3 linked regions of the Stegostoma tigrinum genome follow. Each later gene encodes a partner of the first gene's protein in a complex. Links are inferred from orthologs where the notes say so. Each region holds a gene or a part of one and is shown on either strand. Other genes may lie near its edges. The genes, in order: bud13, snrnp40 and rbmx2.

The links.
Region 2: bud13 (region 1) and snrnp40 share a complex: the UniProt entries of both Homo sapiens proteins name them as parts of the minor spliceosome. The link is inferred for Stegostoma tigrinum from reciprocal best matches to the Homo sapiens genes BUD13 and SNRNP40.
Region 3: bud13 (region 1) and rbmx2 share a complex: the UniProt entries of both Homo sapiens proteins name them as parts of the activated spliceosome. The link is inferred for Stegostoma tigrinum from reciprocal best matches to the Homo sapiens genes BUD13 and RBMX2.

Annotation. Positions count from the first base shown.
Region 1 is NC_081385.1:596,134-605,915, reverse strand, and holds the start of bud13 (BUD13 homolog), read left to right. Parts: upstream 1-4,358; 5' UTR 4,359-4,485; coding exon 4,486-4,592; intron 4,593-4,651; exon of another isoform or gene 4,652-5,108; intron 5,109-5,585; exon of another isoform or gene 5,586-5,586; coding exon 5,587-5,692; intron 5,693-7,019; exon of another isoform or gene 7,020-7,032; coding exon 7,033-7,117; intron 7,118-7,748; coding exon 7,749-7,803; intron 7,804-9,746; coding exon 9,747-9,782. UniProt on the Homo sapiens protein: Involved in pre-mRNA splicing as component of the activated spliceosome. As a component of the minor spliceosome, involved in the splicing of U12-type introns in pre-mRNAs.
Region 2 is NC_081377.1:34,182,186-34,191,967, forward strand, and holds the start of snrnp40 (U5 small nuclear ribonucleoprotein 40 kDa protein), read right to left. Parts: upstream 5,331-9,782; 5' UTR 5,253-5,330; coding exon 5,160-5,252; intron 259-5,159; coding exon 129-258; intron 1-128. UniProt on the Homo sapiens protein: Required for pre-mRNA splicing as component of the activated spliceosome. Component of the U5 small nuclear ribonucleoprotein (snRNP) complex and the U4/U6-U5 tri-snRNP complex, building blocks of the spliceosome.
Region 3 is NC_081368.1:47,500,143-47,509,924, forward strand, and holds the start of rbmx2 (RNA-binding motif protein, X-linked 2), read left to right. Parts: upstream 1-3,951; 5' UTR 3,952-4,151; coding exon 4,152-4,156; intron 4,157-9,782. UniProt on the Homo sapiens protein: Involved in pre-mRNA splicing as component of the activated spliceosome. As a component of the minor spliceosome, involved in the splicing of U12-type introns in pre-mRNAs.

The sequences.
Region 1 (9,782 bases):
GGGGGGGTGAGGGGGGAGGGGGGGTGAGGGGGGATGGGGGGTGAGGGGTGGGGATGTGAGGGGGGGTGGGGATGTGAGGGGGGGTGGGGATGTGAGGGGGGATGGGGGGGTGAGGGGTGGGGATGTGAGGGGTGAGGGGTGGGGATGTGAGGGGTGAGGGGTGGGGATGTGAGGGGTGGGGATGTGAGGGGTGAGGGGTGGGGATGTGAGGGGTGGGGATGTGAGGGGTGAGGGGTGGGGATGTGAGGGGTGAGGGGTGGGGATGTGAGGGGTGAGGGGTGAGGGGTGGGGATGTGAGGGGTGAGGGGTGGGGATGTGAGGGGTGAGGGGTGAGGGGTGGGGGGGTGAGGGGTGAGGGGTGGGGGGGTGAGGGGTGAGGGGTGAGGGGTGGGGGGGTGAGGGGTGAGGGGTGGGGGGGTGAGGGGTGGGGATGTGAGGGGTGAGGGGTGGGGATGTGAGGGGGGATGTGAGGGGGGATGGGGGGGTGAGGGGTGGGGATGTGAGGGGGGGTGGGGATGTGAGGGGGGGTGGGGATGTGAGGGGGGATGGGGGGGTGAGGGGTGGGGATGTGAGGGGGGGTGGGGATGTGAGGGGGGGATGGGGGGGTGAGGGGTGGGGATGTGAGGGGTGAGGGGTGAGGGATGGGGATGTGAGGGGGGATGGGGATGTGAGGGGGGATGGGGATGTGAGGGGGGATGGGGGGGTGAGGGATGGGGGGGTGAGGGGTGGGGATGTGAGGGGGGGTGAGGGGTGGGGATGTGAGGGGGGGTGAGGGGTGGGGATGTGAGGGGGGGTGGGGATGTGAGGGGGGATGGGGATGTGAGGGGGGATGGGGGGATGGGGGGGTGAGGGGGGGTGGGGATGTGAGGGGGGATGGGGGGGTGAGGGGGGGTGGGGATGTGAGGGGGGATGGGGGGGTGAGGGGGGGTGGGGATGTGAGGGGGGATGAGGGGGTGAGGGGTGGGGATGTGAGGGGGGATGGGGGGGTGAGGGGTGGGGATGTGAGGGGGGGTGGGGATGTGAGGGGGGATGGGGATGTGAGGGGGGATGGGGGGATGGGGGGGTGAGGGGGGGTGGGGGGGTGAGGGGGGGTGGGGATGTGAGGGGGGATGGGGGGATGGGGGGGTGAGGGGGGGTGGGGATGTGAGGGGGGATGGGGAGGTGAGGGGGGGTGGGGATGTGAGGGGGGATGGGGGGGTGAGGGGGGATGGGGGGATGGGGGGGTGAGGGGGGATGGGGGGATGGGGGGGTGAGGGGGGATGGGGGGTGAGGGGGGATGGGGGGGTGAGGGGTGGGGATGTGTGGGGGGGTGAGGGGTGGGGATGGGGAGGTGAGGGGTGGGGATGGGGATGTGAGGGGGGGGTGGGGATGTGAGGGGGGATGGGGGGGTGAGGGGTGGGGATGTGAGGGGTGAGGGGTGGGGATGTGAGGGGTGAGGGGTGGGGATGTGAGGGGGGATGGGGGGGGTGAGGGGTGGGGATGCGAGGGGGGGTGGGGATGCGAGGGGGGGTGGGGATGCGAGGGGGGGTGGGGATGTGAGGGGGGGTGGGGATGTGAGGGGGGGTGGGGGGGTGGGGGGGTGAGGGGTGGGGATGTGAGGGGGGGTGGGGGGGTGAGGGGTGGGGATGTGAGGGGGGATGGGGGGGTGAGGGGTGGGGATGTGATGGGGGGTGGGGATGTGAGGGGGGATGGGGGGGTGAGGGGTGGGGATGTGAGGGGGGATGTGAGGGGGGATGGGGGGGTGAGGGGTGGGGATGTGAGAGGGGTGGGGATGTGAGGGGGGTGGGGATGTGAGGGGGGGTGGGGATGTGAGGGGGGTGGGGATGTGAGGGGGGGTGGGGATGTGAGGGGGGATGGGGGGGTGAGGGGTGGGGATGGGGGGGGTGAGGGGTGGGGATGGGGGGGGTGAGGGGTGGGGATGGGGGGGGTGAGGGGTGGGGATGTGGGGGGTGAGGGGTGGGGATGAGGGGGGTGGGGATGTGAGGGGGGGTGGGGATGTGAGGGGGGGTGGGGGGGTGAGGGGTGGGGGGGTGAGGGGTGGGGATGTGGGGGGTGAGGGGTGGGGATGTGAGGGGTGAGGGGTGGGGATGTGAGGGGTGAGGGGTGGGGATGTGAGGGGGGATGTGAGGGGTGAGGGGTGAGGGGTGAGGGGTGAGGGGTGGGGATGTGAGGGGTGAGGGGTGGGGATGTGAGGGGTGAGGGGTGGGGAAGTGAGGGGGGATGGGGGGGTGAGGGGTGGGGATGTGAGGGGGGGTGGGGATGTGAGGGGGGATGGGGGGGTGAGGTGTGGGGATGTGAGGGGGGATGGGGGGGTGAGGGGTGGGGATGTGAGGGGGGGTGGGGATGTGAGGGGTGGGGATGTGAGGGGGGGTGGGGATGTGAGGGGGGGTGGGGATGTGAGGGGGGATGGGGGGGTGAGGGGTGGGGATGTGAGGGGGGGTGGGGGGGTGAGGGGTGGGGATGTGAGGGGGGGTGGGGGGGTGAGGTGTGGGGATGTGAGTGGGGATGTGAGGGGGGATGGGGGGGTGAGGGGTGGGGATGTGAGGGGTGAGGGGTGGGGATGTGAGGGGTGAGGGGTGGGGATGTGAGGGGGGGTGAGGGGGGGGGATGGGGGGGTGAGGGGTGGGGATGGGGGGGTGAGGGGGGGGATGGGGGGGTCAGGGGTGGGGATGGGGGGGTCAGGGGTGGGGATGTGAGGGGGGGTGAGGGGGGATGGGGGGGTGAGGGGTGGGGATGGGGGGGTGAGGGGGGATGGGGGGGTGAGGGGTGGGGATGGGGGGGTGAGGGGGGATGGGGGGGTGAGGGGTGGGGATGGGGGGGTGAGGGGGGATGGGGGGGTGAGGGGTGGGGATGTGAGGGGGGGTGGGGATGTGAGGGGGGGTGGGATGTGAGGGGGAGGGGGGATGGGGGGGTGAGGGGTGGGGATGTGAGGGGGGATGGGGGCTGAGGGGTGGGGATGTGAGGGGTGGGGATGTGAGGGGTGGGGATGTGAGGGGGGATGGGGGGGTGAGGGGTGGGGATGTGGGGGTGAGGGGTGGGGATGTGAGGGGTGAGGGGTGGGGATGTGAGGGGGGATTGGGGGGGTGAGGGGTGGGGATGTGAGGGGGGGTGGGGATGTGAGGGGGGATGGGGGGGTGAGGGGTGGGGATTGAGGGGGATGGGGGGGTGAGGGGTGGGGATGTGAGGGGGGTGGGGATGTGAGGGGGGATGGGGGGGTGAGGGGGGATGGGGGGGTGAGGGGGGATGGGGGGGTGAGGGGTGGGGATGTGAGGGGGGGTGGGGATGTGAGGGGGGATGGGGGGGTGGGGATGTGAGGGGGGTGGGGATGTGAGGGGGGATGGGGGGATGGGGGGTGAGGGGTGGGGATGTGAGGGGTGAGGGGTGGGGATGTGAGGGGTGAGGGGTGGGGATGTGAGGGGGGAATGGGGGGTGAGGGGTGGGGATGTGAGGGGGGGTGGGGATGTGAGGGGGGGTGGGATGTGAGGGGGGGGTGGGGATGTGAGGGGGATGGGGATGTGAGGGGGATGGGGATGTGAGGGGGGATGGGGGGTGAGGGGGGATGGGGGGTGAGGGGGGATGGGGGGGTGAGGGGGGATGGGGATGTGAGGGGGGGTGGGGATGTGAGGGGGGATGGGGGGTCGAGGGGTGGGGATGTGAGGGTGGGATGTGAGGGTGAGGGGTGGGATGTGAGGGGGGATGGGGGGGTGAGGGTGGGATGTGCAGGGGTGAGGGGTGGGGATGTGAGGGGGGATGGGGGGGTGAGGGGTGGGGATGTGAGGGTGAGGGGTGGGGATGTGAGGGGTGAGGGGTGGGATGTGAGGGGAGGGGGGGAGTGGGAGGGGTGGGGGTGGGATGTGAGGGGTGAGGGGTGGGATGTGAGGGGGGATGGGGGGGTGAGGGGTGGGGATGTGAGGGGGGATGGGGGGGTGAGGGGTGGGGGGGTGAGGGGTGGGGATGTGAGGGGGGGGTGGGGATGTGAGGGGGGGTGGGGGGGTGAGGGGGTGAGGGGGGATGGGGGGGTGAGGGGTGGGGGGGTGAGGGGTGGGGATGTGAGGGGTGAGGGGTGGGGATGTGAGGGGTGAGGGGTGGGGATTGTGAGGGGGGATGGGGGGGTGAGGGGTGGGGATGTGAGGGGGGGTGGGGGTTTGAGGGGTGGGGATGTGAGGGGGGATGGGGGGTGAGGGGTGGGGATGTGAGGGGGGGTGGGGATGTGAGGGGGGGTGGGGGTTTGAGGGGTGATGGGCTGGATGTGGGGGGGGATGGGGGGGGGTGACCATCCTGTCCGCGAGACATCGGCTTGAGGCACCAAGATGGCGGCGCGAGGCGGGCGGGTTTCCCGCCGGGGGCCGGGGGCCGGGGGCCGGGGGCCGGGCCGGTCGAGCGGGGCCGGTGAGTGAAGACCGCTCGGTGCCGGCGGAAGCAGCGCCAGCGGAGTCCGGGTAGGAAGGAGCCGGGCCGGTAGCGCCGGGAGAGGGAGGGGATCCCATGGCCGGCCTGAGTAAGGAGGAATACCTGAAGCGGTACCTGAGCGGCTCGGAGCCGGGCCCCAAGCGGACCAGGAGGAGGCGGAGGGTGAAGATTAAAGGCGGAGGGTGAGGCCCGCGCAGGGAGCAGCGTAAGCGGCCAGCCCGACGTGGAAAGGCCTGAGGCCTGATGGTTTCCTGCGGGTGAGGCCGCCCTCCCGCACGCCTCAGGCGGCAGGAGCCGGGTCTGAACCTCATTCGCACCAAACACCAAACTATCAGTAAAATTATCACCGGATCACCCGGGACCTCGTTATAGCCGAGCTCCTGATAGGCGCTAGAGAAATTCATAATTCAACACTTTGCTGTGGCCTCATCGTTGTAGAATTACATTGTAGCTTTGGAGTAATTCCGTTGTCGTGTTTTAAGTTAGTTTTCACAAGGGAACGGTTTCTTGCTTTTAATGGGCAGTTGTTCATTATGTGACAGAGTTAAATATTGTTCACTTTTTCTTGAGGTTTATTAATAACATGCCTCACAGAAAGAGGCCATTCGCCCATTGCCCCAGTGCTGGATCTTTAAAGAAGTTATCCCGTCACCTCTCTCCTCAATGTTGTAATGTTTAACCTCGATCTGTTTTATAAAGTAAGTTTCACCTGTGGTAATGGCTATAATTTGTGTTAACAAGGTGTGGAGCTGGATGAACACAACAAGCCAAGCAGCATCAGAGGGGCAGGGAGGCTGAGGGAGGCCTAGGCCTGAAACATCACCTTTCCTGCTCCTCTGATACAGTTCCTTCTCTCTTAGTGTAATTTGTGTTCCTCTGGTTTCTGGATCTCTTGCCACTAGAAGCTTTCTCGTTATTTACTGCTCTATCTAAACACCCCTTTACCATCCTTACTCTTAGAGTGGAGGACCCCAGTGTCCTCAGCCTCTTCGTGCAATTGAAATTTCTTATCCACGATGCAGTTCTCCAATGCCCTCTCATTTTTGTAATCTGTGGTGTTGTCAGCTTTCCCTTTTTATCATGTGAAGTGTTACTTTACTCTGTATCTGTTTTAGATCAGGGATGCTGTTGAGTCTAGTTCTGTCAGTTGAAAGCCTCTGTCCTGTTATATTACAGAATGCGGATTGTGGATGATGATGTGACCTGGAAGACCCTTGCGAAGGAGAAGGAGAAAGAGGCTGTATTAGAGGCAGCAGAGGATGAGGATGATGAAGCCCCTGTGGTAGGTGAAATAGCTATTCTCAGGACTGACTGATTCTAAGATTTGTCAGCAAATAACTAATTAAGACTTCAACACTGTGACTACTGTTACTGCTGCTGAAGATACCCCAGTATCAACAAGACATTTTAATTGAACTGCCAAAACCCCACAAGAAGGTTGTTAAGTGATTTGGAAAGGAGAAAATTCAGAGCTAGAGAAGGTTTCCAGCCCATCTGACCAGTCTCTAAAGCTAATCCCAGTCTTCCTAATGCTTGTTGAACATTCGCTTATAAACAAATCGATAAGTTCCACATGAGAGCAGAAGAGTCAGAAGTGATGGGAGAATTTCTTTTAGTGCAGAAAGTTGTTCTAGTTTCAACTGGGTGGTGGAAACAGATTTAAAAGTAACTTTTCATTGGGAATTTCATAAATACTCAAAGTGGAAGGTTTTACAGGATGATGAGGGAAAGAACAAGGATGTGGGACAAATTAGCTAAGTTTTTAATACACCCAATACGGGTAAAAGGAGATAAATCCTCCTACCTGTACTCTAAGATTCTGTGAGAGACTGCTGTGGAAAGTGTCTTGCTGTGTATTTGGAAATGACTGACCTTATGGCTGAGTTTGAATGCTTTGTCCAGAGTGTGTTCATTAGGGACAATGTAGCGGGAGCATCACTCTGTTTCTAATTCCATTCCGTACCTATCCTGGGGTTTTTTGGTAGGTACAGTGAAGAGGGAGCCTTAGTCTCTGAACTTGCCCATATACAGTTCAATGTGATAGATGAGGGGCGGCACGGTGGCTCAGTGTAAGCATTGCAGCCTCACAGCGCCAGGGACCCGGGTTCGATTCCAGCCTCGAGCGACTGTCTGTATGGAGTTTGCGCATTCTCCCCGTGTCTGTGTGGGTTTCCTCTGGGTGCTCCGGTTTTCTCCCACAGTCCAAAGATTTTCAGGTTAGGTGGATTGGCCATGCTAAATTGCCCGTAATGTTCAGGGGTGTGTGGGTTATAGGGGGATGGGTCTGGGTGGGATGCTGCAAGGGGCTGTGTGGACTTGTTGGGCCAAAGGGCCTGTTTCCAGACTGTAGGGAATCTAATCTAATCATGACAGTGAATATTTAAAATGATCATTGTTTATATTCACTACATCATGCTGTACTTTAAACTGCTTGGGTCCAAACTTCGTACCTAATTTTTATGATGAGGCTTTTGGTCAATTGACCTAATGTCTTGTGTCAGGGTTTATTTGATCACCATTCCTGAGAATGATTTAGGGCTGTTTTACTCTATGACAAGGCTATGTAAATGCAGATTGTTGTTGTATTATACTTTTGTGTTGATCTCCAGCCTGTTGCTTTAGGTGGCAGAGTTCATTGATGAAAGGCCTGAAATCATTCAACAAATGGAGGAATTCCGCCTGAGCAATAAGTGGAAAATTTTAGGAGGTAAGTCGTGAGGCGTCTTTTTTAAAAAGACTCATTTCATTCTGTGCAGTGAATTTGTGTTGGCCGCTGTGTTATAAATACATTAATTGGATGCAAGCATCATTGGCTGGGCTAGCATTGTCGTTCATCTGAAGTTTCCCTGACAAGCTGGTAGTGAGCTGCCCCTTTGAATTGCTGAAGTGGCTTGACATATTTACTGTCTCACTGGGCTACTTTAAAAGGCAGTTCAGGTTTAATACAGCACTGGTTGCTGAATAGTGCTTAGGAACGGGAACCCAATAAGGACACTGAAGTGAGCTGCAGTCTTGATGCTGTTAACACAGCACTGCTTCTGCAGCTGGAAGCTTTAACTCTGTGTGGGTCACTAACATGTTTTAGCGTTGCTTCAGCATTGCATCTCCTCTGCTCCACATAGTTAGAGAAATTTGTTGTGCCTGTTCTCGCTGGAATGAATTTAGTCTCCTTCAGTGATAACTAAATCAGTAGCTGAAACCAGTCCTTTCCGCTACACACGAGAAAAAGATGGAAGCTACATCCCAATCCAACTCTTTTAACAATCCTTTATTTAAAATAAAACACGGGAAAGTCATTGTTGTTGCATTCATCATTAGTTTTTTGACTTTTTATTAAGATGAAAAGGAAGATTCCCAAGATCCCGATGTGTTCCTACACACAAGTCGAGATGGGTGAGTGCATATAACTGTGGCTATGTTGTTAATATGCTCACTGTCATCTGTGTGAAGGAATTTGGTTACAGATGTTGCAAAGCTGACGTTGTCCCCCATCTGAGAGCTAAATCCGAAACATCCAAAGAGGAGCACCTTGCCTTATAATCTGTAAAAGGAGTATGAAAAGTGGTATGACTTGCTTTTCAGCAGTTTCTAGTGGTTAAAGAAAATAAATTCCTGACACTCACTTTAAGGTCAACAACTAACAATTTATTTATCTAACTCGAAAAGTGAACAAATTAACTAAACTATTAACAAACTGAATAAATCTCTTCTAACTACTAACAATTACCAAATAAAGTAAGATTCTAATGGTATGCTTTCCAATAAATAAAAGTCCTACTTGTATATAAAAAAAAGTCTCTCAAAATTACAGCCAGGTTACGTGTCTTCCAGAATGTTCTGTGCCTTCACCATAGATTCATCTGTCAGGAATATTAACTAGTTGTGCCATGGCTACCGTTGTTATTTAGATGGTGCTTTCTCTAAGACATGGAGGAGGCTATGAGAGCCAGCAATTTTCTTGAGAGCTGAGGGCTCCTAACTAAGGCAGATGGCACTTAGCTCAGGAGCTTTGTCCAACTGCCCTTTTATTTTATATCCTTGATAACTTATCAATATTTCTTACAGTAGAATTGGTCCTATGTTGTCAAAACCATCAGATTTAAAATTAGAGATAATGGGAACTGCAGATTCTGGAGAACCCAAGATAACAAAGTGTGGAGCTGGATGAACACAGCAGGCCAAGCAGCATCTTAGGAGCACAAAAGCTGACATTTCAGGCCTAGACCCTTCATCAGAGAGGGTCTCTGATGAAGGGTCTGGGCCCGAAACGTCAGCTTTTGTATTTCTGAGATTTAAAATTAATTGGTTTTTGGTATCTAAGTGCCTGGTTCAAATTGATTGGCAAAATTCAAACATCTGTTGAGTTGGTAAAAACTGTTGCTTGGCCTGCTAACTGTATGGCCTTTCGAAACTAATGTTTCAGTTCGGGTGCTCTCTGTACTTGCAAACTTCAAGCTGCTGCTCACAGGCATCCATTTTTAAATCTGTAAGCACGGAAAAAAACACATCACCCTTTAAAGGGAACACACAGTGCTTTCCCCTTTAACGTTTTACAAACACCAAAATGTATCTCCCTGCCGCTCAATCAACAAGTACTGGACCCAACTTCACAACACAGGCTATATAGAGAAAATGTTTTCAATTATGGGATAGACAAGAACTAGGGACTATAAATTTAAAAACAGTGACTACAATGTCCAAATGCGAAACCAAAAGAAATTTCTTTACCCAGTGAGTGCTGAGAATGTGAAACTTAAAGTGGCTGAGATGAAGGGTCTAGGCCCGAAACGTCAGCTTTTGTGCTCCTGAGATGCTGCTTGGCCTGCTGTGTTCATCCAGCCTCACATTTTATTATCTTGGAATCTCCAGCATCTGCAGTTCCCATTATCTCTGACCATAATTTTAAGGGAAGCTGGGTAACGAAGGAAGGATCAGAAGGATATTTGATGAGGTTTGAAGAAGAGGGTTGGGAGGAAATGGAGTATCAGTATTGGCAGTAACTAGTGGGGACAACTCTGGAGCAAGTGGGACTTGAACTCATTGACAAGAGGTAAGGGCACCACCACTGTTATGAGACTCCTTCAGTTTGTACTGTAGACTTCACCAAATTCTGTGCTTTGGGTGATTTATTACATGTGGTTTCTGTGTGTGGATGTGTGTTACTATTTGGAAGCTTTTGCAGGTATTTTACCAGATTAAGGGAATCTTGCCCAGCTGATGTTAACAGATGGTGGAAAGCTAAAATAAAAGGAATAATATCTTATGGTTATTGAACTTGCAGTTTTTAATTTGCACTATTTATTTTGATAAACTGACATGTTCTTTATTCTCTCTAGTTTCATACCAGGTTCTGTGCCTGCACAAAGAAAAAG
Region 2 (9,782 bases), on another chromosome or scaffold:
CCAGTATTAACAAAATGATCAGGGCCTTACATAACAATTCCAAAATAATTAAAGTTTAGTTATATTTAGAAACTTAACAAGCTTGCAGGAGTGCAGGCAGAACAAAGATGAAATAGTCTATCACTTACGTACGAGTCGGTCAAATCCCGAAGATGCCAGCGTTGATCCATTTGGGTGGAACTTACAACAGTAAACTTCTCCCTCATGACCTGTTAGAAGCATTATAGGAGCTTGAAGACTTGATGTTCTCGGGGGACCCTAAATGATTGGCAGTAGAACAAAAGAGAAAATTTGATCTAGGTGGCAGTCCAAACACCTTTCCTCTCCACCACATTACATGTTGGATGGCCTACATAGACCATGTGAATTGGAAAGGTCCTCAAATCCAAACGCCCCAATGAAATTGCTGTACACATTAGACAAACTTGAGCCAATACACGTACGTTGCTGATCTAATTCACATTAGGGTGTCAAATTTCAAAACCAGAGTTTACCCTGCAGAACCCAGCAATCATTACGTTACAGCCTTGACTGGGACTCATACTTGTCTGGCATCCCAAATTAAGCCGCTTCAGCTAGAGCGCAAGTTAGAGCATTAGGACAAAGTTGTTCCAGTTTGTTGTTCTCATGTGCCACACTGATGCACCAGGAGTCTTCGGGCCAGTTGCAGTTTTGAGGTGCAGCCACTGCTATATTGTAGGGACAGATGGCAGGAAACTTACGTGAAGCAAGTTTCCCAATAGTAACTAGTTAATAATCTGATAACATGGGTTTGAGGTCAAGGGGTTAAAAAAAATCCACCAGGAACTCTCTGACTCATCTTCAAAACATTCACCTACATGGACATATGGGACCTGATTTAATGTATCATCGAAAAAGATAAACCGCTGATGAACGCAGAATCTGCTTAGTGCTGCACTGAAGCATTATTTAGATAATAAGTTCAGGTTTCTGGAGTGGAACTTAAACCCAAGACTTCCAGATGTCAGAGTGCTTCCTCTACATTGGGGAAACCAAGCAGAGGCTTGGGGACCGCTTTGCAGAACACCTACGCTCAGTTCGCAATAAACGAATGCACCTCCCAGTCACGAACCATTTTAACTCCCCCCTCCCATTCCTTAGATGACATGTCCATCCTGGGCCTCCTGCATTGCCATAATGATGCCACCTGAAGGTTTCAGGAACAGCAACTCATTCCCGCTGGGGAACCTTGCAGCCCAATGGCATCAATGTGGATTTCACAAGTTTCAAAATCTCCCTTTCCCCTCCCCCACTGTATCCCAAAACCAGCCCAGCTCGTCCCTGCCTCCCTAACCTGTTCTTCCTCTTACCCATCCCCTCCTCCCACCTCAAGATGCACCTCCATTTTCGACCTACTAACCTCATTCTACCCCCTTGACCTGTCTGTTCTCCCCGGACTGACCTATCCCCTCCCTACTTCCCCACCTATACTCTCCTCTCCACTTATCTTCTCCACCATCCATCTTCGGTCTGCCTCCCCCACTCTCCCTATTTATTTCAGAATCCTCTCCCCACCCCCCTTTTCTGATGAAGGGTCTAGGCCCGAAACGTCAGCTTTTGTGCTCCTAAGATGCTGCTTGGCCTGCTGTGTTCATCCAGCTCCACACTTTGTTATCTTGGATTCTCCAGCATCGGCAGTTCCCATTATCTCTTTTGACTATTCATTTCAAATCTGCTGGTAACCAAATAACCAGTTCTTCACAAGTCGGCTTCAAACAATGATCCTAAAACTCCTTCGCTCATCAAATCCCAAGTTAATGGAAGTACTCTGTCTAGCAGTACTCTGGCAAAGCAATCTTCGCCCAGCTTATCCTGGACATAAGCAAAATCCACTGCATTTATACCAGCTGCAATTCCAAAAACCTGAGACAGGAACTGTTAACTAGTTATACGGCCATGGAGTCATACAGTACAGAAACAGACTGTTCAGTCCAACTCGTCTGTGCCGATTGTGTGTCCTAAGCTAATCTAGTCCATTGGCCAGCAGTTGTCTCATATCACTCTAAGCTTCTCCTAATTGTGCATCCATCTTGATGATTTTTAAATGTTGTAATTGCACCCACCTCCACCACTTCATCTGGCAGTTTGTTGCATACATGCACCACTCTCTGCATGAAAAGGTGCCCCTTAGATCTCTTAAATCCTTCCCCTCTCACCTTAAACCTAAGTTCTCTAGGTGTGGACTCCCCTTCCCTAGGAAAAAGGCCTTGTCAATTCACCCTATGCCTCATGATTGTACAAACCTCTCTAAGGCCACCCTTCAGCATCTGATGCCCTCGGGAGAAAAGCCCCAGGCTCTTCCTATCCTGACATCTTTGTTAACCTCTTCTGAACGCTTTCAAACTTAACATATTTCCTACAGCAGGGAGACCAGAATTTAATGCAGTATTCTAAAAGTGGCCTCATCAATGTCCTGTACAGCTGCAACGTGACGTTCCAACACCTATATTCAACGCACTGACCAATGAAGGAAAAATGTGCCAAACGCCTTCTTCACCACCCTGTCTACTGGTGACTCCATTTTCAAAGGAAATATGCACCAACACCTCTACGTCTTTTTGTTTGCCGTCACTCCCGAGGGCCCTATCATTAACTCTACAAGTTCTGTTCAGATTTGCCTTCCCAAAATGCAACACGTCATATTTATCTAAACTAAACTCCTCCTGTGACTCCTCTGCCCATTGGCCTATCTAATCAAGGTCCCATTGTATTCTGAGATAACCTTCTTCATTGCCCACTACACCTCCAATGTTAGTGGGATCTGCACATTTACTAACAATATCTCCGATATTTACATCCAAATCGTTTATGTAAGTATCAAAAAGCAGTGGACCCAGCACCATTCCTTACGGCACAGCACTGGTCACAGGCCTCCAGTTGGATAAACAACCCTGCAACACTACTCTCTGTCTGCTATCTTCAAGCCAATTTTGTATCCAATTGGTAAGCTCCCTCTGGATTCCACGTGATTTAACCTTGCTAACCAGTCTGCCTGTGGGACTTTGTTGAAGTCTATGTAGGCAAGGTCCCCCACTCTGTCTTCAATCTTCTTTGTCACTTCTTCAAAAAAACCCATCAAATTATGAAACACCATTTCCCATGCACAAAGCCATGTTGACCGTCCCTAATTAGTCCTTGCTTTTCCAAATGCATGTAAACCCTTTCCCACAGAATCCCCTCTAACAAGTTGCCCACCACTGATATCAGGCTCACTGGTCTATAGTTCTCTGGCTTCACTATCGCATCCTTCTTAAATAATGGCACCACATTAGCCAGCCTCCAGTATTCTGGCACCTCACTTGTGGCTATCAGTGATACAAATATCTCAGTAAGGATCCCAGCAATCTCTTCCCCAGGTTCCTAATGTTCTAGAATACACCTGATCAGGATTTATTCACATTTGTGTGTTTTAGGACATCCAACACCACCTCTATGATATGGACACTTTAAAATATCACTATTTATTTCCCCAACTTCTCTAGCTTTTATGTCCTTCTCCACAGTGAATACTGATGCAAAATACTCTGAGTATCTCATTCATCTCCTGTGGTTCCACATATAGATGGACACATTGATCTTTAAAATGCCTGATTCTCTCCCTAGTTACCCTTTTGCCCTTAATACATTTTTAGAACCTCTTTGGATTCTCCTTAACCCTATTTGCCAAAGCTCATTCCTGTTCCCTTTTTGCCTTCCTGACTTCCCTCTTAGGTATACTCCTACAGCCCTTAAACTCCCCTCGGGATTCACTCAATCCCTGCTGTCTATACCTGACATATCTCTCTTTAGTTTTCTTGACCAAAAACTCAATTTCTCTAGTCAGCCAGCATTCCCTACATTTACCAGCTTTGCCCTTCGCACTAACAGGAACATACTGTCTTTAAACTCGTTATCACATTTTGAAAGACTCCCATTTTCCAACTATCCTTTACTTATGGCTCGCCTTTCCCTATCAACTTTTGAAAGTTCCTGGCTAATACCTAATAATTGGCCTACTCTAGTTTAGAATTTTAACTTTAAGATCATGCCTATTCTTTTCCATAATTATTTTAAAACTAACCGAATTATGATCACTGGAACCTCAGTCACCGATCCTACTTCCCAAGAGAAGATGAGGTGTTACTGCTTGTCAAGCAGGTACATCCACATACGGAATAAGAAAATTTACTTGTACACACAAAGTTCCTCTCCAAGTTCTTAACACCATGGCAGTCCCAGTCTATGTTTGGAAAGTTAAAAGCTCCTACCATGACAACATTATTATTCTTACAGATGTCTGAGAACTCTTTTTTTTCCAGTTTCCCACTGACTATTGGGGGAACCTATAGTACTTCTAAATATATTTTAATCAACCGCTCAGACATGTCATATCACACCTCTGGAGCAGGTAAGATCTGAACCTGGGGCATCTAGCCCAGAGGCAGGGACACTACAAATCTACCATGGTGTACTCAACTGACAAATTCATTGGGTCTGACAGCATTTACTAAGTTAAAAAAATCAGAGTTAATCAGTTCTGAGGAAGGGTCACTGGACCCAAAATGTTAACTCTGATTTTTACTTCACAGATGCTGCTGGACCTGCAGAGCTTTTCCAACAACTTTGTTTTTGTTCCCGATTTACAGCATCTGCAGTTCTTTTGTTTTTAAGACCAATTCATTGATTGGGTGTCAATTACAGGCATCCTGTTTATCACTGACTGACTAGTTATTTTCAGTTTTGTTATTAAAGTTAAATGGGATAAATGAGGGAGTACACCACTCTGGGAAGTGCGGGTAAAAATATTAAACCAAAACCTCATCTCCCTGCTCAGGTGGATGTAAAAGATCCCTTCACAATGTTTTAAAAATGAACAGGAGGGTCTAGGCCCGAAACGGCAGCTGTCCTGCTCGGCTTGCTATGTTCATCCAGCTCCACACCTCACTATCTCGGGTTATCCTCAGTGCCCTGGTTGAGGTTTATCCCTCAGTCTACATCAGGGCTATGGGGAGACGTTGAAGGGAATGGCTCTCCTCCAGAGAGCCAGCACTGACAGAATGGGCCGAACAGCCTTCTCTGATCGCTAGTGGGAGTGAGTGTGAGTGGCCTGCCTGCTTTTTTTTTTCCCTTTCTCTCTCTCCCTCCGTCCCGGGCCTCACCGCCTGCTGCGGAACCCCTGGGACCGCCTCGTTCCTCGGCCGCTTGGTCGGAATCAGCGCCATTTCCTGCGCCTTGCGTTTCTGATCGATCATCGTCCTCGTCGATGTCTCCGAACTCCCGACGGCAAGTCCCTCTCCCAAACTGAGCGCCTTCAGCTAAACGATCTGACCCCCCCCCCTCGCACCCACCTCTCAATAACACGGCCCCTCATTACTCAGCCGTCCGGCTTAGCCCCTCCTTATCGCGTCTTCTATTCGCTACCCCCGGTGTCCATTACCACTGAGGGGGCGCGACCCATGGAGATCCGCTAACCGATTTGCTCAGGGCGATGTCACTCAGTCCAGGCTGAGTAAGGCTCCTCGCAATTGGCTACCTGTCGAAGCTCCAAGATGGCATGGCTTCTGAGGTGTGGGGTTTATTCATTTGCTTCATTATTTTGATTTTCGGTATGACTTATCCAATGGTTTAATGTGAGAATTAGTTTGTAAATGGTATCTATAAAGTGTGATATGTAGGTACAGGACACGAGTTGGCTGAAACAGAAACAAATTGCTGGAGGAACTCAGCGGGTCTGGCTGTTTCTGAGGAGAGAGAAAGCAGAGTTGGCGCTTCGGGCCCACTGACACTTCATCAGCACCTCTTCCCCATAGAAGCTTTCAGGCGTGTGGAGTTACTCCGGCAGTTTATGTTTTTGTTCCAGATTTCCAGTATCCGCAGTCCTTTTCATTTTTACGTACTGCAGGCTCATCAGCAACTCCGGCAGGAGCCCCCACCCCACTGCTTTGAAAATATCAGTGCACCGAGACTGCAGCTCCACCACAGCGTGTGTTCGGTCGAGGGCGAAAGGGCTCTGTCTCTCCGCCTGGTCTTCCAATGCAACGTGGCGGTGTCCTTGCACATTTATAGCCTAGAAATATAGCCCCCACACAGTGTAACTGCCTGTGTTCGCAGAGAAACCTGCTTGTGTACACAGGCGTCATTGATAGTTTCTGTATTCAGAGGCATTCTCTTTCTTCTCTTCAGCTGCTGTGCCCTAAGAGGACTGGAGAACACGTTAATGTATATTTTGATTTATGTTGGCCCATGATGATGCTTGTCGGAGTACCGCAATTGTCTGCTGTCACTTTCTACAGTTTTGCTGATCAGGAGCTAACTCTTTGCTGTCAGGCATATTGAAAAATATTCACAAGTTTGTACTCAACAGATATGACTACACTGAAACTGAGGGCAATTTCTGGAGTCGTTGTGTGCAGAATTTCACAGAAATCTGTAAATTATTGTTGTAATTCTTAATTTCCCCATCGGGTGTGCTGCTGGGTTACCACTTCTGCTGAAATTACTGCTATCAGTTTGAAATGTTATGAACTAATGAGGACACAAACTCATATACTTTCAGTCTCATTGTAAACTAAACCCTATTAAAGATATCAGCCTTTGTTTCATTGAGACATGCCTGGTTTGAATGTTCTTTCTCCCCACCCCCTTGTTAAACTGTTTTTGGATGCTTAAGGCTAAAATGGAGCCAAATTTTTTTGGAGCATTTTGATTTGGTTAACAGAAGAAGGGCTGAATCTTCTCATTCCAAACATATAAGATTGTCAGGCTGCAGAAATAATCCTGAGTGAGGGTTTTGGCTTAGATGGTTCCAATTAAGGATTACCAAAATTTAGAACAACCTGAGAATTAGTTTATATGCTCATTGCAATTTTAAAATAAACATGATTTTTAGCAGCTGGGGGACACCACCATTGCAAATTCTCCCCTGGGCTGCACACCATCATAACTTGGAAGTATACGTGCCACTACTTCATTGTTGCTGGATCAAAATCCCGGAACTCCCTTCCTATGTACCTAAATCACATGGACTGCAGTTGTTCAAGAATGTGCAAACTCCATACAGGCAGTTGCCCGAGACTGGAATTGAACTTGGGTCCATGTTGCTGTAAGGCAGCAGTGCTAAACACTGAGTCAGTGTGCCCCCACACATAGTATGCATTTGTTTCCCTTACGGTTACCACTAGTAAATGGTGGCACAGCGGTTAGTACTGCTGCCTTGCAGCTCTAGGGACCTTGGTTCAATTCCATCCTCAGGCAACTGTCTGTGTGGAGTTTGCACGTTCTACCTGTGTTAGCATCCTCTGGGTGCGCTGGTTTCCTCCCACAGTCCAAAGATGTGCAGGCTAGGTGGATTGGTCATGCTAAATTGTCCATAATGTTCAGGGGTTTGTACATTAGGAGGGGGATGGCTTTGGATGGGTGCTCTGACGGTCAGCATGGACCGTTGTTGGGCCAAAGAGCCTGTTTCCACACTGTAGGGATTCTAATATGAAGCACTCATTCTGCTGATGACGTGATTTGCAGATGCAACACTTTTTTTCTTCATGTACATTGTACAATATTCATGCACATTCACAATATAGCCTCAACTAATGGGCTGCACACCTTTCATTGCTCATTTTCAAAATATACATATATAAAGGAATACCATCTGTTCACTTGAAAGTTTCTTCCATGTAGACTGGAACTGCATTTTTAAAGATATGTACTTTGAGGACTTTTTCAGCAATTTTAGCCTCCACCTTTATACCACTATTGGAAGGTATAGTCTAGATTAACAGTGTGAACAAACATGGTAATAGTTATTCAGATTTCCCTGTAATTTCTAATGATTGGTTAACCGGTAGTTTTACTGCATTGGTGTAACAGTTTTATTTCCAGATCAGAGTTTGCAATTTGGCATAACTGTCAGTCTGCAGTGTCCCTCCTGGGCAATTCTGTCTGCCGACAACCATGCTATTAGCTCTCAGGTAGCTGAACAGCCTGTGGGGGGCCTATACTCTTCAGTGCTGGGCTTACTATCCTTCACACTGGGCCTATATTCTACCCCGCTGGGCTTACTATCCTTCACACTGGGCCTATACTCTTCAGTGCTGGGCTTACTGTCCGTCACACTGGGCCTATATTCTACCCCGCTGGGCTTACAGTCCTTCACACTGGGCCTATACTCTTCAGTGCTGGGCTTACTGTCTGTCACACTGGGCCTATATTCTTCCCTGCTGGGCTTACTATCCCTCGCACTGGGCTCATACTCTTCCCTGCTGGGCTTACTGTCCATCACACAGGGCCTATACTCTTTCCCACTGGGCTTACTATCCTTCACACTGGGCCTATACTGTTCGGTGCTGGGCTTACAGTCCATCACACTGGGCCTATATTCTTCCCTGCTGGGCTTACAGTCCATCACACTGGGCCTATGTTCTTCCCCGCTGGGCTTGCTGTCCTTCATGCTGGGCCTACATTCTTCCCTGCTGGGCTTACTATCCTTCATGCTGGGCCTACACTCTTCCCTACTGGGCTTTTTCGAGGTTCACAAGGTCTACTGCTGATGCCATCCGAGCTTAAGAGGTAAGTAAGGAAAATGTAAGATAGAGAAAGAAACAGGAGAAGAGAAAAGAAAAGAGGACGGTCTAAAAGACAGATAAATTAGGGTTTTTTGCCTATTTTTATAAAATCTCTAGCTTTTGTGACAACTCTGGGAATAATGGGTCTTAATTTTTGGCACCTTTGTCAAGGGATATAACAATTTCTAAAGGTTGAACATTTGTGATCAATTATTTCAGTTATCACAACATGCTTTCAGCAAAGAGGTAGGGTACAGTGGACTATGCGGAAGCAGAGAATTACTGAGCAACTTCTGGATTTCCGTGTTCAGCTGCACATGTGCAATTACCACAGATGGACATTGCATTTACAAAAGTAATGAGTTTGAAAGCTGATGCATTTTCTGTGGTAACATTCGTATGCTGTCGCCCAATGTCTCTCTCACTAGTTTGGCATTTTCCCCCGCATTGTGTAACTGTGAAACACCTTTGGTGGGGGTTGGGGGGGGTTGTAGTTATACTAGAGACACTACATAAATATGGAAATTGCTGGAAAGACTCAGTAGGTCTGGCAGCATATGTGGAAAGAGAAAGAGATTTAATGTTTCAGGTCAAAGATCTTTCATGAATTAGTGATGCAACATCTCTACACAAATTCTACCAAATCAGTTGTAAATTTCTCGCATTTATTTTGATTTCCAGCATCTGTTGTACTTTGCTTTTGTATTTAAACGTACATTGTTGTTGATTCAAAATAATGGCGGGCATTATTTGCAAATGTCATACATTGTTACTTTAAAGTCACAGATCTGAGACTGTAGCGTTGTATAGTTATGTTCCTTCATGCCTGAGAATGATATGTGAACCGTTACAGTTTACTCTCCCATTTTCCAGTCACCTACAAACACATCAAGAATTGACACAAAGAGGATCATGCTGGTAAATTATAAACATACAGACATTCACATTGTCAGCAAGCACAATTCTTTTTCCCTCAGAAATGCTGATTCCAACCGGCTGAAGTAACTGTTTGATCTATAGTACTGTTCTGCCAACCATGAGTGGTGTTAAGCTGAACTGTTACATTCACACCATCAGTTGGGATGCAGGACGATTAATAATGAATGCCTTTTGTTTCAGGGAACGATTTGCCAGAAATTGGTGGCAGTTAGCTTATAGTAATCCTTATAAATAAACTATTATTTTCAATAGAACTGTAATTTTTGAAGTTAATAATATGTA
Region 3 (9,782 bases), on another chromosome or scaffold:
CCCTAACCTGTTCTTCCTCTCACCTATCCCCTCCTCCCACCTCAAGCCGCACCTCCATTTCCTACCTACTAACCTCATCCCGCCCCCTTGACCTGTCCATCCTCCCCGGGCTGACCTATCCCCTCCATACCACCCAACCCACACTCTCCTCTCCACCTATCTTTTCCTCTATCCATCTTCAGTCCGCCTCCCCCTCTCTCCCTATTTATTTCAGAATCCTCTCCCCTTCCCCTCTCTGATGAAGGGTCTAGGCCCGAAACGTCAGCTTTTGTGCTCCTGAGATGCTGCTTGGCCTGCTGTGTTCATCCAGCTCCACAGTTTGTTATCTTGGATTCTCCAGCATCTGCAGTTCCCATTATCACAAAGTTTTAAGAGCTGGTTTCTTATCCTCCACAAACAAGAGAATACTCAGGTTCTAAATTCATCAACAACAAAGAAATCTCGGCAACCAAAAGGCAATATGATAGGCTGGGAGACATTCAACCAGATTTACCTTGTAACAAGTTTGAAAGGATAAGACTACTTTTCATACTTAAGTTCTATCAGACATTTTGAAGAAATCAAAGAAACTCTGGGCATCATAGTGGTTCAGTGTCAATATTCATATGCCTTCACAGCAAAATATAACACCCACTAGCCTTTCTAGATATTAACTTTCAACATTCTTTGTGAAGAAGAAAATCACCTATTTCTTCAAGTTGGCATAAACTTGTAAAGTCAGAGACTTGATGGGAGAAGAAATAGTAGTAAACTTGATGTGCTTATTTAAACAATAATATACCGGGTTTAATAAGGAGGGAAAAACTGGGAGGGAGATATCATATATGATTATTGGCATGAAAAGTTTAACCTTCAAAAATTTGTATCGCTCCACCCACCAGGATCTCAGTAATTGTCTCTGTGAAGAGCAAGTCAGTTCTTGTTGAAGAGGCAGGGACGAGCCGGGCTGGTTTTGGGATGCATTGGGGGAAGGGGAGATTTTGAAGCTGTTGAAATCCACATTGATACCATTAGGCTGCAGAGTTCCCAAACGGCATATGAATTGCTGTTCCTCTTAGGAGATATCTATGTCTCTTACCACATCTAATTTGATTAACCAGCCGCTGCTGTAATAAAGGATGTATTTCATCATCTAAAAATGTTGTTCTAATGGAAGTATATTTTGAGAGTCAATATTTTCTTATAGTTTTGGGTATAAGATAAAAGTTTTTTCCAGAAAGAACCGGCACTGTTCTCTCAGTATGTAATAAACTATTTCTTGTCATTCTTGTCTGCCAAAGATTTATTGGTGGTTAACCCTTAACCATTTAATATTATTGAGTCCTGTGGTCTAGTATTACAAGCAGGGTTATATCTACCCAAAGACATTCTTAGCAGAACTAGGTCCCAGTTGAGGGCAGCCCTTACAAGAGGAAAGGGAAGGAAAGATTTACTTGTTGGTGGTGTTACGTGGGAGGTGGAGAAATTAGCAGTGGTAGAAACATAGGAAAAGGAGTAGCTTATTAAAGCTCTTGGTCAGAGGGCAAGTGGGAAAATAGAAGTGTTGACACCTCCTGTTAACCACAGTTACAGTGGGTGGGGATGAGGGGAGAGAGGAGATGGTTGGAGTGAAGAAGAAATAGAAAGACATATCAGAACCTGAAAGCTTTCCATCTTGTTAATTTCGCAACCTTCTCATTATCCTCATGGTTTTATCTCATTGACATCAGGGAATTTTAGATAACAAGAGACAACATTGTGCTGGGTGTTATAACCAGAAGGCATATTTAAATCTTCAATCACTTTACTAACAAGAGAGGTAGGTGATTGCTGAGCTGTTGGTGAATGCCTATTTTTTATTTAATCAGTCAGCTCAATATCTGATTTAAAAAAAACAGACTTAACAGGGTGGCTCAGACCTGTGGAGTGTCCACAATTCTTGAATCCAAGATAACCAGATGTGCAAGACTGAATTCAGTGGCAGCAGCAGCTGAAACTGCATGTTTTCAAGTGTGAACAGCAGCAGGTATTACTGCAGGATTGAGGGGTTTATGTGTAGTACATTTATAGATGTGGTCACTCTGCAATCTTAAGGTATGCAAGCAGAGAAGGAATGGATAACTGTCAGATAGTGAAGATTATCCAAGGAGGCAGTTCAATTTGGGCAAACTCTCTCTATTTTGAATGTTATATGAATGATGGTTCCTTTGGTGTGTCCAGCCAGCTTCTAGTCCTTGCTACCAAGCTTACTCAACACGACAGGAGAAGCAGGAAGAATATTGGAAAAGCATTAGACATCAGGGATTCAATAGCTATTGGAACATACAGAATTTTTTTCTGGCTGCAGACAAGAGTGCAAGATAAATTGCCTCTTCAGCACCAAGATCAAGGGTATCACTAAATGGCTACAAAACACTCTGAACGTGCTGGACAAATAGCCAGCTCTTATGGCTACTATCAGTATTAAGGATGTAAGTAAGAAAGAAGGATGATGTCCTCCAGAATGGATTAGGGATCTTAGAAAGAAGCCAGCTAGCAGGAGCTCAATGGTAGTAATTTGCAAATTATTCCCAGTAACATAAACTATTGTTTAGGAGTTTACGGGTTATGGTTGCCTGAAGCGTGCTTGCTGGGATGGTTCAGGAAGAAGGGCTTTGGATATCTGACACTTTGGGACTGGTTCTTGCGAGGTGTGACCTGTGCACCTTAACAGAGTCAGGACCAATGTCCTTACAGGCCTATTTGCTACTGCTGCTGCTGGGGACGATTTAAACCATTTGGGCAGAGGTGTGGGAACCAGGAGGTGACATAAAAGAGGAAGATCAAAATATATAGAGGATTAGGAGAGACAAATAGCATTAGAGTGAAAAATGGTGTTAGTTTGGGTGTGGGTGAGAGAAAATGTGCTAATGTCTAAACTATATTTACTTTTAAGAATGTATTAGAACATGCTAAATAAGACAGGTGAGCTCCAGTTGCAGGTAGCCACATGGAAATATGATGTTTTAGTGATAACAAGAGGTCTGGCATAATAAAAGGCAGAGTGTGGTATTAATAATCCCCAATACGAGGCATTCAGGAAAAAGAGGGAAGGAAAGATAGATCGAGGAATAGTTGTACTGATTAAGGAGAACATCGTAGTGTCAAAAGAGGGAGAGGATCTCCTAAAGTGTTCAGGACAGAAACTATTTTGTTAGCGCTAACAAACAATAGTAATACCAAATAAAAACTGGAAGAACTGCGGATGCTGTAAATCAGAAACAAAAACAAATTTGCTGGAAAAGCTCAGCAGGTTTGACAACATCTGTGAAGGGAAAAACAGAGTTAACATTTCAAGTCCGGTGACCCTTCCTCAGAACGCTGCCAGACTTGCTGAGCTTTTCCAGCAGCTTTTGTTTTAGTACCACTACATTGTTGGATGTATTCTATCAGACACTAAAGTGAAAAATATAGAGAACAAATTTGCATCAAAATTACAGAGATGTAGAACAATGAAGCAAGAGGACTAGAGAATTGCAAAAGTTATTGTTCAAGAAACAGTACAAGAATTGCAACTACAGGAATGTCTCTTTAAATATTTTAATCAGCCTGTTCAGAAATATCATGACACACCTCTGTTTACTACGTGCAACTTAAAACATTGAGCTCCTGGCCCCAGTAGGGGCACGAGCACCACACCGCAAGAGCTCAATCCAGTCATTTTAATCTTGGTGATGACAAAACTTTCAGACATGACAAGGTTACGGCTCACTGGGACAACTGAAAGTTAATTAAGGAAAACCAGCTTGGATGTGTTAAAAATGTCTGTTTCTTTCACTATCCCCAATGACAGACAACCTCATCCTCGCATGTACTGGGATTAAAATTCTCCGAAGGTTGATGACCTTTTGTCAGAACAAATGACAATTATGCATTTCCAATACAGTGGATTAATCAGATTTTATAATTTGCATTTATCTGCATTTGTTCAAGTAGCCAAATTGCGTATTGTTTTCCGACATTGAGAATTCAAGCGAAATCTCGATCACAGCGTGTGATTGGTGGCGTGCGTCAGTAGGTGGTGGTGTGTGCGGAGTTCTCCACTTTCCTGTTGCGGTCCTTCTTGCTCCTCTCCTTCCGCCCTTATCCGGGATGAGGAGCTGCTGTGGTAAAATTTGGGACTTTACTGCGAAATGAAGTGAGTAGGCGATTAAATTGATGTAGTTGCTGGTTTAACAAACAGCATCACTAAAGGGAGGAAATTACCTGTCCGGTATGGACAGGTAAGAGGTTTCTCTGAGTTACTTCAAGGTGGTAAAGGATCAGTGGCAGGATTTTTTATTTAAAATGTCCACCGTTCCTGAAAGAAAGGAACCTGCTTTCAGCACCAACTCTTAGTTCTTGGGAATTATTTAAGTAAAACACTAAAGACGGTTAATGACAGTGGTTTGATCGGAATAAAATGTGGCCAGAAGTATCTGAGTTGTTTGCCAACTGAAGTTTCAACGTGAAACGAATCAGTCGTTAATAAAACCGTGGAAAGGTTAATAACTTGGCATGACCATAAATGTGAATGAAATGGTAGCTGCTGCTTTGTCAGTCACTGTATTTTTGTCCTTTGCATCACCCCGTGCCTTGACATTTTTCTTTCAACAATCTCCCAAAAGCCTTTCTGTCTCCTTATGTTTCCAGTTTCCCTTCCCATTCCCATTATCATTTCCTGTAGCCTGTGAAGCAGTTTCATGGATTTTCACAGTATTTGAGGAGCATAATAAAAATGCGGGTTATTGAACTAGGATTCAGCTCGTCTGGCCAGCAAAACAACACTCTGCACTGATTTAGAGGGCCTTTGGAACATTTTCAAGATGAATTACTGAGCTTGGGAGAAGTGGTGAACAAAATAAAAGAGACAACCGTAAACCCAGTGGTGAAAACCGTGAGCTTCTTCAAACTAGGCATTTGTGGAAGGGAAGTGACTGTAAACTAAAATGAAAGCAAATGTGTAGAAATTCAAAATAGCTCTAGAAAATGCTGGAAACAGTTCTGTCCTACCATTTAATATGCGAGTGAAAAGTAGCCTCAACTCTGTTCAAGACTTCTTTTATTTTGAAACGAATACAGTTTGCACCCAAATCAGATGATCTTGCCTCTCATTAGATCAACTGGACAAAGTCTATTGCAAATGACACTTATGTAAGTGCATGTAGTCTGGGAAAGACTGAGTAGTCATCTGCACTCAACCCAACAATGTTACAAATACCAGCTTGGCCAAATATCCACTTGAGGATAATATATTTAAGTTATTTAATTTAATTTAATTTAATTTAATTTATTGCTGGAAAAACTCAGCAAGTTTGGCAGCATCTGTGGAGAGAAGAATTTCAGTTCTGAGGAAGTGTCACTGGCCCCAAAACATTAACTTTGATTTCTCTCCACAGATTCTGCCAGATGTGCTGAGTTTATCCAGCAGTTTCTGTTTCTGATTTTGATTTCCAGCATCTGCAGTTTTTTTTCATTTTTTTTATTATTGTTTGCAGAATCAGAATGTAAGCTATGGAAATTTCCTCTGATAGAATATGTTGTTTTCTTTTCAATACATGTAAAATGCTTTTCTTATTAATTCATGGGATGAGGGAATCGCTGGCAAGGTCAGCATTTACTACCAAGCATCAGTTGCCCTGTAGAAAATGGCAGTGAACCTTCAACTACTGTGCTCCTTGGTGTTTCCTCTGGCCCATCCTTGTGCTGATGAGATATCTATTCGGGATTTTGACCAATGACAATGAATAGCTCATATCCAAATCAGAATTTTGTGTGTTTTGAAAGAGAACTTGTGGGTGGTAGTGTTCCCATGCATTTTCTGCCCTTTTTCTTCTAGATTATAGAAATCAAGGGTTTGGAAGGTAGAGTCTAAGCAGTTTGGCAAGTTGTTGCAAATGCAAATTGTAAATGGTACGCATTGCTGTAATTATATGTCGCTGGTAAAAGCAGTGAATGTTGAAGGTGTTAGATGCGGTCGCAGTCAAACAGGCAGTATTTGGACAGAGGCTGCTTTAGTATTGGAGGAGTTGCAAATGGTGCAGAAATTGTGCAGTCATCAGTGAAGGATCTCACTTCTGACATTTACAATGGAGAGAATGTTGTTGAAGATGGTCGGGTCTGGGACACTACCCTGAGTAACTCCCGTGTCTCAGTTGATTGACTCCAACAACACAACCACCTTCCTGTGTGCTAAACAGCAGGGAGTTACCCTCTCCCCCTCCAATTCTGATGAACTCCAGTTTACTGTGGCTCCTTAATGCCATACACAGTCAAATGCTGCTTTGATATAGAGGTAATCACCCTTACTGCCCCTCTGGAGTTCAGCTGTTTTGACTTAATTTATAATGAGGTCAGGAACAGAGTGGTCTGTTAGAACCCAAGCTGAGAGTCTAGTAAACAAATTGTTGTTGAGTAAGTACTGCTTGAAATCACAGGTGGTGATGGTGCTTTCTGTATTTTCGTTAGAGGATAGACTGATGGGATGGAATTGTTGAGTGGGATCTGTCCTGCTTATTGTGGATAGGATGTAATCAGGAAATTATACATATTGCTGGATAGATCCCAATGTTGTAGCTGCAGTGTACGAGCTTAGCTAGGGTTGCTGCTAGTTCTGAAGCGTAAGTCATCAGTGGTATTGCTCGAATGTTGTCCAGACCGATTACCTTTGCAGAGTCCAGTGACCAGTTTTTATTTGCCATTATGTGGAATAAATTGAACTGGATGTAGCTGGAACCTGTGATGCTGGGGACCTCAGGAAGAAGCTAAGATAGAGCATCCACTAGACACTTTTGGCTGAAACTGTAGGAAAATGCTTAAGCCTTCACATTGACCTGCTGGGTTCCCAATCATTGAGATAGAGATCTTTGTGGAGCCGCCGCCTCCAGTGAATTGTTACATAGTCCACCACCATTCACAACTGGATGCAGCGGACTGTAGAGCTTAGATCTTAAGATGGATGCCTTTGTCATTGTTCCACAGTCTAGTTAAACAACTGCCTGATTCTCAGTTTGAGCTCCAACAGGATTACTCAGCTGCTGACCTCAAAAGTGTTCTGAGATAGGGTCACCAAACCCAAAACGTTAACTCTGATTTTTTTCTTCACAAATGCTGTCAGACCTACTGAGCTTTTCCAGCAACTTCTGTTTTTGTTCCTGATCTACAGCATCGACAGTTCTTTCAACCTTAATACGAGGTTGGTCCAAACACGGACAAAAGAGTTGAGGTGAGGTAAAAATGACTGCCCTTGACATAAACACAGCATTTGACCAAGTAGGGCTTTAAGGAGCCTTGGAAAACCTGGAATCGGTAGGAATAAGATGGCATTTGTTTGCTGATTACAGTTATACCCAGGAAAAAGAAAGATGGTCATGGTTGTTAGACAGCGAACATCACAGCCCTAGGGCATTTTTGCAGGAACTCCTAATGCTAGATATTTTCTAATCAACGTGTTCAGAAATGTTATTATGTATTTCTCTGGAGCAGGTGGGACTTGAATTCCTGAGGATAAATATTTTAATCACCCTGTTTAGGCATGTTATTATGTACTTTGGGAGCAGGCAGGACTTGAACCCAGGCCTTCTGATCTAGCGGCAGGGTCACTTCCACTGCAGCCCAAGAGCTACCAAAGAGCATAAAGGTCTTTCTTCCTTTCTAAATATTTTTAATCAGTCCAGAGATATCCCTGGAGCAGGCGGGACTTGCACCTGGAACTCCTGGTTCAGAGATAAGGGTAGTACCACTGCACCACAAGAGCCCTAATTCCTGAGAATGGTGTCTGAGATCCAATGATTTTTCAGCTGTTTCATCAATAATCTTTGCTCCATCACAAGGTCAGAGCTGGGGATATGCACTGATGTGCAATCATCAGTGCTCCACTGTCCAGCATCTTTCACCATATCTCGGATACCGAAGTGTCCATATGCAGCAAGATATTAACAATATCCAGGGATGGACAGATAAGTGGTAAGTGATGACCACTTCACACAAATGTAGGGTAATGACCATCTTCCGCAAGAGAGGATCCAATTTTCAATGGAATTATCTCTAAGTGCCAACTATCAATACCCTGGAGTCACCTTTTACCAGAAAGTAAAACAGGCCCGCCAGTAAATACTGTGGCCACAAGAGTGGGTCAGAGGCTAGGAATTATGCAGAGAATATGATGACATACTCTCCAGTTGTCTTTTTGAGTTTGTATCAACAACAAAATGCTTGACATCAGACAGTATGAAACAGCATGCATCATTGGCATTCCATTCATCACCATCAACATTTACTGCTGTCATTTACTGCTTGCACAATGGCAGTAGTATCGACCATCGAGAGGAAGCGCTGAAGTAACTCATCAAGTTTCCTCTGAGAGCATCGTCCAAATCGGCAACTTCTATCACCTAGAACGACTAGGTTAGTAAATTCATGGGACCCCTGTCAACTGCAAGTTTCCCTCCAAACCACACAATATCCTTATTTGGAAATGTAATGCCATTGCTTCACCGTTACAGGGTCACAAGCCTGGAATCTACTTCCTAACAGAACTGTAATATGCCTACAACCTTACTAGTTTATGAAATAATGTAGGGATAGGCATTAAATAATGGCCAGTCAGCAATGTGCACACTCCACTTGAGTAAAAAATAAATCTCCTCACTACATTCCTAGGCCAATTGGGAATAGGCAATAAATGCTGTCCTTACCAGCAATGCCACACCCCATGAACAAATAAAAGGAATGCGTGAGTTTTTTTAATCAAATTTTATAGAAGTTCGATACAACTTGCTTGGTTGTTTCAGAGAGCGTTTGAGTGCCCATTATATTGCTGTGGATCTGGAATCGATATAGTTTAGAATGGAGGAAGATGGCAGATTTTCCTTCCCTAAAGGTCTATTGTGAACCAGATGGATTTTCAAGACCGTTGGCAATAGTATATGGACAGCATTTGAATATTTTTTTTCTTCCAGACTTTTTCACTTACTTCAAATTTCATCTGCCAAAGTGAAATTTGAACCCATATCCTCAGAGCATATGGGTTAGTCTGTGCCAACCGATTACTGCACAACCACCTCCCCTCATAAGGAGTTAAATAAAATTTGGCTTCGTGTCCGGGGAAAGGACATGTATCTTCTGAGATCTCATGAGCAGTGAGTGAGTACAAGCAGCTGATTCTGTGATCCTTGATCATACCTCTTTACCATCACAAGGTGAAAGCAATGCGATGTTTATAGGAAACTGAAAATCTGTAATCAGGTGGCTCCAGAATGCTGCCTTGCCTGCATCTTCCCTTAGCTTTAGGGCTTTCTTGTTTGCAAACAGGTAGCAAAAAGCCAGTCCTTCACTGCATGAGGGAGTGGGTATCATCTGTAGATGTTTCAAAGTTGATCCCGTATCTATGGGTAAGGTCACTAAGGCTCAAATTACTGTTGAAGGATGAAACCATTTGTGCATCCTTGAGTAAGGAGATGATGCCAGTACTAGAGATGTTCTGGCAACAATTAAATTGTTAAAAGTAGGTTAGGCAAATTCACTCTAAGTTGGATATAGAGAAGCATTTGAATGAAATTAACAGCTGTGCTGAAGCCTGCATGGATTTCTAGAAGGTATTATCCAAGTCTTGTAATGTAATAAAATTGGAATTTTTTTTTCCACTCGAATGGCTTTGATGAGCTACTTTAACTCTGGACCAGCTTTTAGGTTGCAATTTTTACTATTAAAGCGCTTGTCATTTGGCTTTTGTGAGTTATCAAGTAATGGCCCATTTAATGTGACCAGAAAACAATATTAAAAGG